3 linked regions of the Caenorhabditis elegans genome follow. The protein of the gene in region 1 purifies or fractionates together with the protein of each later gene. This does not show direct contact. Each region holds a gene or a part of one and is shown in the gene's direction. Other genes may lie near its edges.

What was found. The genes of interacting proteins can lie anywhere in the genome.
Region 2: the proteins of ZK856.7 (region 1) and acp-6 fractionate together in Caenorhabditis elegans (co-fractionation; one large-scale study listed by BioGRID). This does not show direct contact.
Region 3: the proteins of ZK856.7 (region 1) and T03F7.7 fractionate together in Caenorhabditis elegans (co-fractionation; one large-scale study listed by BioGRID). This does not show direct contact.

What each region holds. Positions count from the first base shown.
Region 1 is NC_003283.11:10,199,556-10,203,198, forward strand, and holds ZK856.7 (uncharacterized protein), read left to right. Parts: upstream 1-2,542; 5' UTR 2,543-2,543; coding exon 2,544-2,677; intron 2,678-2,723; coding exon 2,724-2,955; 3' UTR 2,956-2,998; downstream 2,999-3,643. Other genes in the region: nssp-61 (NGF domain-containing protein), read left to right, coding at 96-158; chpf-1 (EF-hand domain-containing protein), read right to left, coding at 3,162-3,400, 3,446-3,643.
Region 2 is NC_003282.8:6,423,826-6,428,366, reverse strand, and holds acp-6 (Histidine phosphatase family protein), read left to right. Parts: upstream 1-2,227; 5' UTR 2,228-2,229; coding exon 2,230-2,424; intron 2,425-2,473; coding exon 2,474-2,608; exon of another isoform or gene 2,609-2,678; intron 2,679-2,692; coding exon 2,693-2,837; intron 2,838-2,885; coding exon 2,886-3,268; intron 3,269-3,347; coding exon 3,348-3,596; intron 3,597-3,645; coding exon 3,646-3,684; 3' UTR 3,685-3,767; downstream 3,768-4,541.
Region 3 is NC_003283.11:11,309,166-11,314,219, forward strand, and holds T03F7.7 (CRAL-TRIO domain-containing protein), read left to right. Parts: upstream 1-2,256; 5' UTR 2,257-2,356; coding exon 2,357-2,424; intron 2,425-2,693; coding exon 2,694-2,892; intron 2,893-2,941; coding exon 2,942-3,262; intron 3,263-3,317; coding exon 3,318-3,664; intron 3,665-3,894; coding exon 3,895-4,024; intron 4,025-4,073; coding exon 4,074-4,193; 3' UTR 4,194-4,280; downstream 4,281-5,054. Other genes in the region: cutl-18 (CUTiclin-Like), read right to left, coding at 4,292-4,558, 4,720-4,873.

The sequences.
Region 1 (3,643 bases):
TACATATTTTAAAAATAAAAATTCTGCTGAAATTGGTAGTTGCCGAGGTAATTTTAAACAGGAAGTGACACTGTGATCTCATTTATTATATTCAGGTTCCAATTCTCTGTGAATGCAGACTTCGTCGTCAATTCAAAGATTTCGAAAAAAGGAAATAACTTCGTGAAACTGTTCTCTAGTTAGCTAATAGCCCATCTGTTCAAATGCTCACAGGCTTCAACTGTGCCAAAATCTCTTAAAATCTCCGTATCATTTGATCTTCCTCCACCATTCTTACCTGATCTACCAATACTAGCCAGCTCCTCGATCTCTTTTTTCTTTTGGTGCCATAGCTATTTTTTTTGTTCTTTGTCATATTTTCCATATTTTTTGAATTTCAAGCATCATGTTGCAGTTTTAATTATGTTTCCTAATGTTTATACATAAGCATTATTTCGTGTATCCATTTTATTACCTGCATTTATTTTGTCTTCAGTTGTATTCTCTAAATTATTTATTTGTGTTTGATCAATTCATTTATGCAGAAAACGAAGAACTGCGAGATGAAGCAGAGTCTATAAAAGGTTTTCTATTCATTTGATATCCTTCGAAAAAACAGAATGACAAATTCATTAGCATGCAGTTAAAAATAAAGAGGAAATGAGTTGAATGGCAATGGAACTCCATTATAATCTTTTTGCACCACAACTTGAAATCAATGGGACAATCTAAATCCCGATAAATAGAAATAATTGTAAACCAAAAATATACACCGTTTATTTACAATGATGATGTAAAAATTATGTCACAATAATAGTAGTTTAATCGGAAAAAAACACATTATTCGTATTTGAATCAGCCCACAAATATTCGTGCGGAGTTTCAAGACCAGTTCGTTGAAACTTGAATTTGAATAATCGGATGCTGGATCGTGACTCAATAATTTAGAATGACGTCAGATTCTATGGCAACTAATTTACTTTGTAGATTAGTCATGTACAGATCCCCGAAAATTTGGTTTTAAGACCTGAAATAAGATCTTCAGTTCATTCGATTTATTTTCAAAACATTGTTGAAATCAGGACCAAGGAAGTAAATGAATAAAACTAGATATTTATTAGATAACCGTCGGAGGATCAGAATTCTGATCAACACTTTTGGCACAACAGTATTTCAAAGTGAAGAGCTCATTTCTCTCTTTTGTACCCTTTCCTGAAGTTAAATTATCATCTTCAGACAAAATATCATTCTTCCATTACTGTTTTCATAAGACAATTAAATTTTTTATACTGGCATAAAATTTTTGTCTAACTCTCAAAAACTAGTCTATCTCTCTACTGTAACCGAACAACAACAAAACACCAAAAGATTAGAAAAACTAGAGTCACACACGTGGTGTACTTTATTTTTGTGATTTTTGTGACAACAATAAGAGAACATATACCAGTTTTCAATATTCGGCTTCATGGAATACTGTAACGCGTTAACCTTTAAATTGTGAAATCTGATTAAACATGGAAGATTGTGTTGAATATGAAATTTGGAAAAGAAATACTCGGGAACAGTATTTAAAAGTTCAAAATATACATAAAATGATCGTTTAGGTTCGAGCCTACATCGTCGAATATCGTATTAAATTACTTATGTTTTTATTGGTAAATTGCCAAATTCTAGAAATTTCTAGCATGTTCGAGCCCATGTTCAGATGCTTAGATATAATTAATAGAAATACAAATCGACTAGAACAATCGTAAAAAATTGTTTTATTTTGAAGTTTTTCTATGTCGTAATATTAACTTTTAATGACAGTTCATTTTCTTTCAGTCGCGGGGTGCTCATTCTTTTGCATTGTTAAATTGATAAAATACTTAAAATGTCGATACAACATGTAGGTGCTAAGATGTGTGCATGCGATGCATGAGTAGCTTCCCGAAGATCACCTAGTCCAACTATGCCTTCTTTACTAGCCCAAATGTTAATTGACATCGTGTGAACGTAGTGTTAGGATGTCACCAGTTACGCATGCCTACGTCTGTAGGCTCTTGTGCTCCTACATGGTATACTTAGTATGAATACAGATATCAGTGCCGATCCTTGAAAATGTGAGAATGTGGTCGTCAAAACAAAATTCACAAATGACACACCAATTGCTTTTTCGTTTAGTCGGTGTTTGTTTGAAAACAAAACTGATTCAATGCTTCATTCATTTGTCTTCTTCTTTTTGATTTACTTTATCGTTGTTTTGTGTAACAACACCAAGGCTCTCAAGGACAGCCCGTATCGATCGCAATTCGGCCGCTGTGGCAGACTACCCATTCACCACTGCGACCGATAGACCGACTACTACCTGTTTATACCCAATTATTCGTTCTCATGTTTCTTTTTATCCTTTTTACTGTTGAATTACCAACAGTTGAACAATCAAAATATTTTCTATAATAACAAAATTTCTCTTCCTCCATTCTTTGTACCTTTCCAATGTATTTCTTTTGTGAGAACACCAACGTTGCTGATATTTTGCCATATCAATAGAACCATTGTAGTCTACAGTATACTTTTTTAGAATGCGTGTCGCAGTTATTCTTCTGTTCTTTTTATCTGTCGCTCTCGCATGTGACATCATTGTTCATTTGAAATCGGACACAGACAAGAAATTCAGCGGACAAATTGTTGCCAGCAATGGAAAGAAATCTGAAAGGTTTGTTCGGAGGACATCAATAGAAAAATTATGTTTTCTTTTTCAGATGGAGCTATTTGAAGAAGCTTCAGAAGAACACCTTCCAACAGAAAGCCGATGAATGTGGACTCAAGGATTGGGAGATTACTACTTGGGATGATGCTGGAAAGCCAGTTGCTACCGTAAAAGTCACTTTGGATGGAATTGGAAGAGTCACTTACAAGGTTGGAGATGATTTGAAGGCAGTTCAAAAGGATCGTCAAGGAGCCATCTGCAAGGGACAATGTGCTCCTTTGTAAATGTTTGAAAACTATTAATCAATGATAAAACTGATAAAACATTCATTTTTCTTTGTCAATTTTGATTTCACACGAAAATTGATAAACAACTTCTGAGATAGTTTGTGTCTTCAAGGCAAAATGGTGAGAAGTGACAAAAATTATGTACAGGTAAGAGAAAATGGCAAACTGAAAACGAGACTAGCAGGGGAATTTCTTGTAAAAGCTTAGTTTAGGAATCGAATCGACATCTTCTCCTCAATATCAGTTTTTTCCATTGCTCGACAAAACTCATCAAAAGAAATTTTTCCATCACGATCTGCATCAGCTTCCTCAATCGTTCGATCAGCAATCTTGTCGAGTTGATCAGAAGTTATATTGGCACCAACCATACTGTTCAGAATGACTTTGAATTCTTCACGTGTGATGTAGTCGTTTTTATTTAAATCGTACATTTTGAACGCAACTGAAATAAAATTAAATAATTAAAAACTTGAAAGAATAATCTTACAAAGCAATTTGTCTTTTCTCGAGTTGAGAGCATTTTTCTTTACTCTTGAAATCGGTTGAAAGTGTGCAAGAATTCGAACAAATTGACGAAAGTTCAACTGTTGCTCTTCGTTGTCACCGTTTGAAGAAGCTAATGTGAAAAAGGCATCTACGATTCGATCACCAAGAGGATTCACAGCCAACTCGGGAACATTCAAAA
Region 2 (4,541 bases), on another chromosome or scaffold:
GGTCACTCGCATATTAATTCCGCTAGCTTGATCTATTTTTGTAGATAAAGATTTTTAAATTTAATCGGATTTCGTTAATGAAATATATGTATATAGTTTTTAATCAACTAAAAGAAGACATGATTAAAAGAACAGATTCCTTTTAATGTTTTCATGGAACACAGGCACGTTTTCCTGCCTACATACATATGTGCCTACTACAATCTTCATCCCGTTTAGAGTGAACATTTCTGTTTGGACAAGGTAGATTTATTCAGATTTGAAGTACTATTCTTATTTTTAAAATTAAATCTTTAAAATTATTTCGTTAGAGATTAAACTGTGAGATGAAACTAATGGTTTACATGTTCTTGTGTATAGGCATGAGGCAGATGTAGGCTGCCTAGAAGAAATAATTTGTTTACTTGATTTTCAATATTTGTCAGTCGTTTCTAAACAACAGCCCTTCCCAATTTTAATACAATTATCCAATAATAAGTGTTTTTCATTAGCCCCTTTGTAATTTTAACCAAATTTTCTACAGTTTTCTACAGTAGTAATTCTTCCAATTAGCTTTTGGTGTAGCCCTTCCAGAAGGCACCAAAGATCCGAAAATTATGTTAGAGCCCTACGAACTCGCGAATGCCTCAATTAGCACAATGGAGCCATCGCGATAGGAACCCGGGAGGCATATATACTAGACAAATCCTACCGTATTCTCTGCAAACTTTACTTCAGCCTTCTGCTCATGAAGTCTCAAAAATTCTGTCTAATTGAAATTCAAATTGCCACGGCGCAATTCACGGTCATTTGAACTCACCTTGAACTCTCGCAGATTCTCGGAGAAAAACCGGAACTAAAGTTTTCTCGCGATCTTTGTGGTTTTGTGAAACAGAGAAAAAAAGAGTAATTGGTGTATTCAATTGGAAGAAATTGAATTGAAGATGAGATGGTGAAACATGGAGTTTTTGAGTTCAAATAAACAATTGATCTTCTTCATGTTTGTCTGTTTTCTATGTGTTTTGTGTATTTCATCTTTTTCTTTCATTCATTTAAAATTGTCTCATTTTCAATTCATTTCTCCCTTCCATGACAATTTCGAGGCCAAATTGAATTGAAGTTTGGTCGTACCTAACAGAGTATAAAAGAATGGCACAAAATGTTGAGAACGTACATCCAAACATCCTTTCTGTTTGTGATCTATATTTTTATCATGATATTTTGGTATTGTCACGTCTGGTCTCTTGTCACGGCCTTGAGAAATCCTTTAATGACAAGATCGTACTAGGTAGCATGTGATTTAGATTTACAGTACTCAAGTATTGCTATCCTAGGTACATAGATAGAAAAGTTAAAAGAATTATTTTTTGTAACTTGAAAAAAGGTAATTTTAAGATAAAGTTAGCATCTAGTGCTCGATCGGTTTCAGGATAGAAGTAAAATTTTGAAATTTTCTGTTAGTAACAGTTTCCAAAATGTGCCATGGATGCATGTTAAAGTAATTATTTTACAGCTTGAATTTAAAAATAGTGACTGATTTGTAGGCCCACTTCTATCGCGCCTGCCTTGTGCCTTTCAGTTGAACCTGACGAATACCAAAGTTGTACGGCAAGGGTTCGCAGATCATTGAGCACGCGGGAAGGTACGAGGCCGGCGCAGGCTTCTGAACTAACGTGATATTTCATTTGAGATTTTTTTAATAAAATTATTAGTTCCGTGTTTAATGGTTTCTCTATTAGACCAACAACTAACGGTTTTTTGTTCATTCTGTTTCAATGAAACGGTAACAAAACACCTGAAGATACTTTTTATTTCAAATCGGGTCATATCTTCTTTTAATTCAATTTTATTGAATTGTGTTCTGTCGTGTTATCTTATCAGTTTGTTATCGTTTCAAACAAAACAAAAACAGTATATAAACGCCGGGTAAGATGGAAGTTCACTGGCAATTCAGTGTTCTTGTGTAATTAACTGATTACCAGAATTTTAAATTTGTCTAGAAAAGCTCTCAGAATATGTATTTTTCAACCTGAATCTATCATTCTACAATCTCCTACCTTTTAGTCTAAACAGTAAATGCCTTCTTGCGGACCTGCAACGTTTGTGGAATAGGCATGTAGGTAGTCTAGTCATGAGAAGCTTTATCAGTTTTCATACTTCTTGGTTTGCTCTCATTAAAAAGTGATATGTTTCTTCAACTTTACCGTTGTATTTTACGCCACCTCAGACAAAGAAATTATATTTTCAGGTATGAACCTTCTACTATTTTCTGCCTTGATCTTGGCTACTTCAGCCGCCCATCTTCTCCCAAAGAAGTCTGTTGCAATTGATAAGAACTCGGTTCTTGTGCTGTTCGGAACTCGTCACGGAAACCGTCATCCAGAAGTTTTTCTCCAAGAGAATCCAAGAAGCTGGGGACATGAGGGAAATACTGAATTGACTTCAGTAAGTATTAATTATTGGAGTTTCTAAATGAAATCTAGTAATATTTCAGTTCGGAAAGCGTCAAGGACTTGGATTGGGAAAGGAATTGAGAAGCTTTATTGGAAATTTGATCTCTCGTAACTACAACTCATCTCAAGTTAAATATTACTCCAGTTCTGCCAACAGATGCCAAATGACTCTTCAGGTATGTGGCGAATTCCGAATTCAAAGTAAAATAATCAAAATTTATCTAACTATAAGTTGCCACATTGAAACAGTAAATTTTTAGACTGTCACTGCTGCTCTCCACGATCCAGAACAATGGGGGGATTGGGATAAGAAATGGTACGATCATTGGTCTCCAGTCCCATATGCCATTGATGATCCACTTCTTAGAATGTACGCTGTTAAGGAATGCAAAGGAAATGATAAGGGTACGGTTGTACTTGTATAATGTGAACATATAAATCCTGATTTTACAGTCTGGGGCCCAATCGACAAGGATTCCCTTCCATTCCTCAAGAAGCTCAAGACAAGCAACGCAGCTGAGCTCAAATACTTCTCTGACAACACCAAATGGAACATGGAGAATCTGGGAAAAGCTGCTGATTTGGCCGATAATCTCATTGAAATTGATCTCTACAAGGCTGAATATCCATCATGGATTAAGGCTCCAAAGTTGAAAGGATACACTTTCGAGAAGCTGAAGGCTAAGATTCTGGAATTTGCTGAAGTTCATCAGAACGCTTGTGCAGAGTACGGACCATGCGGAAACTTGATGGCTGGATATTGGCTTCAGAATTTGATTGATAAGGTTGCTGATGCTAACGCTGGAAAGGGACCACAAGTTATTGGATACGCTTCTGTAAGTTATTTACAACCTGTCAATATTAATGTGAAACCTCTATTTCCTGTGAAAAAATTATACAAATTTCAAATTCCAGCACACCGAAATCACTCTTTCCGTCATGAAATTGATGGGATACGTGAAGGATGAACTGACCACCTCCGCTGGATTCGTAGTTGAATTTAAACGTCTTCCAAAACCAGCTGTCCGTCTTCTCAACCATGATCCTAACCCAATCGATGATCATGTCATCTATCCAGCTGAACTTACTCCAAAACTTAAGAAATTGGCTGACAAGGATGGATTCATTCCATTGGAACAATTCTTCGCCTATGCAAAACAATTCGTAAGTTGGAAAAATAGGTTAGATTATTGTAACAAATTAACATTTTCAGTCCTTCTCCGATTGGAAGTCTCAATGCGACAAGGCTTAGATTCTTTGCATGAATTTATAATAATCGTTTGATTCGCTTCGTATGTACTAATGTAGTTACTTTTTAATAAATAATTCGAAAGTAATCAATGAAAATTGCAAAATAACGGAGAATGGGTTACTGTGCTCATTAAAGGGGTATACCTCGATTTGGAACTATTTTTGCGATGAAAATCGTTTTTTTTTCTATTTAAAAGATACGTGAAGCTCCATGGAGAACAAAAAAAACTCCAGACTGGAAACCGAAGTGTTTGGATATCGTCCACTTGATACACTGCAACTTTTTCCTCACGAGGGACGAGGAAAAGTGGTTTCTAGGCCATGGCCGAGTCCCCGACAAATTTCAGCGGCCATTTATCTTGCTTTGTTTTCTGTGTGTTTTCTTTCGTTTTCACCGATTTTTTTCCGTTTTTTCTTATCAAAACTAATAAATAAATATTTTTTGCAGATGCTAAAACAATTTCCAAGTGAAAAAATTGTGAGTTCAGTCGGCAAGTAGCGGTAAAAGTGGTCAATGTAATATGATGGATTACGGGAATAAAAAACCCAAACTTTTTCCCAAACATGATACATATGCTGTTTAGATGCTAAAAGTACCTGATTTTCATAACGAGACCGCTGAAAAAGTTTTGAGATTTTCATAATTCAACATTTTGTGCCAAAATCTCGACTTTTTCACAAAAAAAGTTGAATTTTGAAAATCTCAAAACTTTTTCAGCGGTCTCGTTTTGAAAATCAGGTACTTTTAGCATCTAAACAGCATATGTATCATGTTTGGGAAAAAGTTTGGTTTTTTATTCCCGTAATCCATCATATTACATTGACCACTTTTACCGCTACTTGCCGACTGAATTCACA
Region 3 (5,054 bases), 1.1 Mb from region 1:
GAGGGCGGCGCGGGAGCACACAGCTGCTATTTTCCCCTGCAGGAGATTTCTGGATACAAAAAAGAGATTAAGAGTGAAATAGCAAGAGTTTGTTTAGAACCCGGTTCCCTATCACGTGGGTCGTGACCCAGCTTTTATGTGGGTTGTTCTGATAAAAATACTGAGTCATGGAAGAAACATTCCTGAAAATCCTAAATTTTGCCAAATTCCGGATACTTAATGGGTTATGATGCACGCTGCATACTTATTCGGGAAAAGCATAAATGTAGAGAAAAAGAGACATAAAAGACTTAAAGTGGACTATTTTGAAGTATCTCAATGGGACTTCTTTTGTAGAATTATTTGGAGACGAGTCGAACTCAAAGAATGTCCTAGATGAAAACGTTTGAAGATAAAACCAAAAAGATGAAAAGTGACTGATTGTGAAAGACAGATAATTACTAGGCCATTTAGAGAAATTTGCAAATCTGGAACAACTAGATTAAGAAAAAATTTTGTAGCTTGCCATAGATTTCATTCGGAGCATTAATTATGAGCTGAAATACTATCCTAGTGAGCGAATTTGTCCTAAATCAGTAATAAATTGAAATAGAACTGAAAAATATATTAAATCTATTTTAAATTGTAATGGATTCCAACAAAAATTACAGATCCTGAGACTTAACACTTAGTAACAAAACAATTAAAAATTTTCTTTTTTATTTCTCACTCCAAGTCATCAAAACTAAACATTTGGAGTCTTCTTCTTCCTCTTCTTCCAATATGCGGAATTCTTCTTCATTTTTGCTCAATTTTTATTCAAAAACGCCAGCATAAGTATGTGCTCATCCTTGAATAAATGAGGCAATTGAAGAAAGAAAAAAGAAAAAAAGTGAGTGGCGAATTCTGTTGGTGGTGGCACTGGGTGAAAGTGGTGAAAACCCCTTGAAGAGATGGAAAAGGGAGACGAAAATACGCCAATTTTTCATAAATGCTTATATTTTTGTGGTTGAGCAAGGGTGCGGACAAGAGAATACCCTGTGGAGCTTTGAATGAGATGTTTGGAAATGGTTTCAGATTTGTTCATACACGACATCACAATGAAGAAGAAAATATTGGGCTATAGAAGGACAAATTCTCTTGAGTAATGGATATCTTTAAATGAGATGGATGTGTGGTAATTTCCGGTACATTTTTTCAGATACAAACGATATAATTTGGACAGGGATGTTGTTAAAGACGTAGAGATATTATTGTAACAACTAGTACATGGAGATAATAAAATATCACGCAGAAAAAAATTACCAAAGCATGAAACGTCTACTTTAATCATCAACTAAAAATTTCCAGCAGCCGTATAACTGAATAAATGTTTTTTGATAAGCTACCTGAAAATACCGAACGGTTCATCCAATCTTATCCACTCTTATCTTCAAATGTATATTATGTGGATTAAATAATCCCGCGATTCATAAATACGAATTTATAATTGTTTTAAAAATGATTTTCCTCCTATTTTTTAATATTCCCCACTTGTGTAATACTTCAAATTCATTTTCCAAATTTTTGTACGTTCATCATTCTCTATTCCTTTACCCTTTTTCCACCTGATTCTTTTTTTCAATTAAACCTATCCCTTCCTCATCACAAGGTATTCAACAATCTGAAAAACAATCTGAAATTGTCTCCACCCATTGAATACAATTGTACGCTCATTCTCTTCAACTATTTCTTACAACAATTCATTCTTTACAAGCCGGGGCTTCAACTTTTATGTGTATGTGTGACTACCGTATTAAACGACACCTCTCTATTTCCCTTTGTTGACCATCTTGCTGCCATCTCTATTCCTGTTTACTTCTCTCTTACTAACCACCGACTATAGGAGACCGCGCACTACTAGTATAATCTAAAATTGTTCCTTTTTCGGTCTCACTTTTTTTCAACCTTTCTCTCTAGGTTCCATTCAACCTTGAGGTTTGGCATCTTCGCTTTTTTTCCAAAATTTTCTAAAATCACAAAACACGAAATTATTTTCTCTCGACCATCCTTCGCCGAATGTCTTGTATTTAACACGTCATATCACTACTGATCAAGTCCTCATTTTTTTCCATTGTGTTCGCCCCTTCTAGTGATAAAATGATAACATAACTATTATATGTATAATCACATAATCAATTGGTGATGACTGCTGATAACAGTTAAAACAGCACGACTTTCTTTTCCTGCATATTAATCTGAAAACCTGTCTCCATCAATCACTTTTTTTCATTTTTTAGGAGACCGCCTCCCACAGCCAGATTTATTTTTTAGACTGTCCCTTGCTATATACACGTTTTTTGTCGAAGAAATCACTCGTGAAACAACAAATTCAAAAATGATTGACGATATGATCACAGCGAAGAAATTCAGTGCAGACATTTTGGAAAAGGCTGAAAAATTAAAGTGAGTTTTTTTTTAATTTTTAGTTGACAATTTTCCGTTCCAGTGAATTTGACATTTAATTTGGGCAACGGCTACTAGTTTTTGACATTTTCAAATTGTTGACTTGCATTCCGATAAATCTATTGAGGATTTGAGAGTAATAAAAAGCAAAAAAAAAATTTCGGTTTTGGACGCCAATTTCCAACAACAACACCTGAAAACATTTAACCTGAAAACATTTTACAGCACATTTTTGTGAAAAACCATTTTTGAGAAAGTAATTTTTGCAGAGTTTCAATCCCATCCGTACCTGATAAAATCGATTCTCCATTCTTCTTTGCCAGATTTTTGAATGCAAATAATGGAGATGTGGAAAAGACACGCCAGAAAATTATACAGTTATTCGAACATCGTAAACTAATGGGATATGAAAAAATCAACGATCTCGATATTTTTACAACCGTAAATATTGGAAAGGATTGTTTTGAGGTGAGACTTCCCAACACTGGATAGAATTACACCTTTTGTTGTTTTTCAGAGATTCCATATTTCTCAACTTAACTATGAAGTCACATCAAAAAATCTTCATGTGTTTGTACAAAAAATGGAAGGAACTGATATCAAAGAAATTTTAAAAGTGATGCCATTGAGCTATGTTCTTCACTCATACTTTATGCTCCAAGAAAATTTTTCAAGAGCAATGGCACACACTGAAAGAAAGACAGGAAAAACATCTTCAGTCGTCTGTATTCTGGATTTGAAAGGATTAAATCTAATGGATTTCATGAATCCGTTGTCAGGACCTGCACAGTTGGCACGGCTCGTGGTGCAAGTTTGGGCAGAATATTTCAGCGAACACGTGAGTGTATAATTTCAGTTTTTACTTGAACAAAACGAGAAATTCAATATTTTAGTTGTGCAAGCTTCTTCTTATCAATCCACCTGGAATTATATCCGTCATGTGGCAAGTCACTAAACGACTCGTGGACCCTAATACAGTAGAAAAGTTAGCTTTCTTGAGCAACGTGGAAGATTTGAAAAAATATTTGGAGCCGGAGGCAATTCCAGTCGAATATGGAGGAACATATCGTGATGATACTGGATATGCAGATCCACCAGAAGGAGCATGTAAACAACCAAAGAGAATTACCAAAGAAGATTATAAACCACAAGAGTATATTTGGGTTAAAAACGGGATTCTCAAGGCACCGAAAGGAAAGAGTTACTCGATAAAAGCATTCCAGACATCAGAGTATATCATGTAAGTTATAAATTTAGAGGAAATCGAATTTTATTTGATGTTACTTACAATTAAATTTTTTTATGTTAGAGTATTTATTTATTAAAATGTTTTCATTTCATATAATTTTCATGAGAGAAAATTTCCAAAAATTGCCGATTCGCACAGAATCGTGAAAATTTTGTGCAAAAACTACAAAACCATTCACACCTTCTGAAACAATTCCGAGAAAATAATGTCCTTTTTCACAGAAAAACTACGACGGAAGGTAAACTGGTTTGGAATTACACAACCAGTGGAGACGTTGACTTCGAGATTGTTAAACGAGACGCTGGTAAAGAGATGGCTATCTGGCCGAAGATCACAGTTACAAGTCTTAAGGTTTGTTTCTTCCCTGTTTTGTTGAATTTGCACTAAAATGTATTTTCAGTTACCAGAGTTTGGCGAGAAACTTGTTGCACCGGGAGAGTATATTCTAAGGTTCAAAAATCCATCAAGTACGTGGTTCCCAGTGAAAGTCAATTGTGCTGCTGAAATTTTAAATGTGTAAATATGACAATTCATGTATTATTATCTTTATTATGAGAATGTTCTTACCGAACATAAAGACATTAAACAAATAAAAAATCAAAAAACCAAACACCCATATCAGATATTCTTTGTATCGAGGAAACGATTTCTGAGACAAATATAGATCACGAGTAGGAATTGAATTGAAATTATAATTACAGTTAAGGAAATTAGTGCAATCCAACGGTTCAATTGAAGGCAATAACCATCTAATTGGGTTGAGTCTACAATTGTTTGAACGAGAAGCTCGGCATGGACTTTTTCAGTATCTTCATTTCCAGTTAACGTTGTGTCCTCACTCTCATCAAAAGTTGTAAATCGGCGGTTACGTGATGGACAATTTGCCTGAAAATAGTATGAATAAACTCAGATTTTAGGAACAATGCCGTAGAGAGTTGATTAGAACTTTTGAACAAAAAACTAACAATATTGATAGTTGCGTTGTCCAACAAATTGTTGAAGATTATATTACCAAAATAATTTTTAATATTAACAAAAAATCTCACCTTTTTACACTTTTCACAGTACTTCACCTCACATTCAATCTTGACAGCCTCTCCCTGTTTAAACCGAAACGCTCGGAACGGTAATACGAATCCTGTAGCGGTCTCCTTAATCTCATCTCGTAAAACGTATTCCTTCGCATGTTGGGTAGCACATCTGACCATAAAGATTAATCCGAGGCATTTTGTTAGAATCCCATAAAACCAAGATAGAAAACCATCTGTCACATTTTTTCCCTTTACCGTGCAATCTCTTTCCTTCTCTCACATTCACCGCACTCTTGTCTGCCACCCTCTATGCAATTTCGGTGGTTTCACTTGTGGCCAAGTGGCAATCG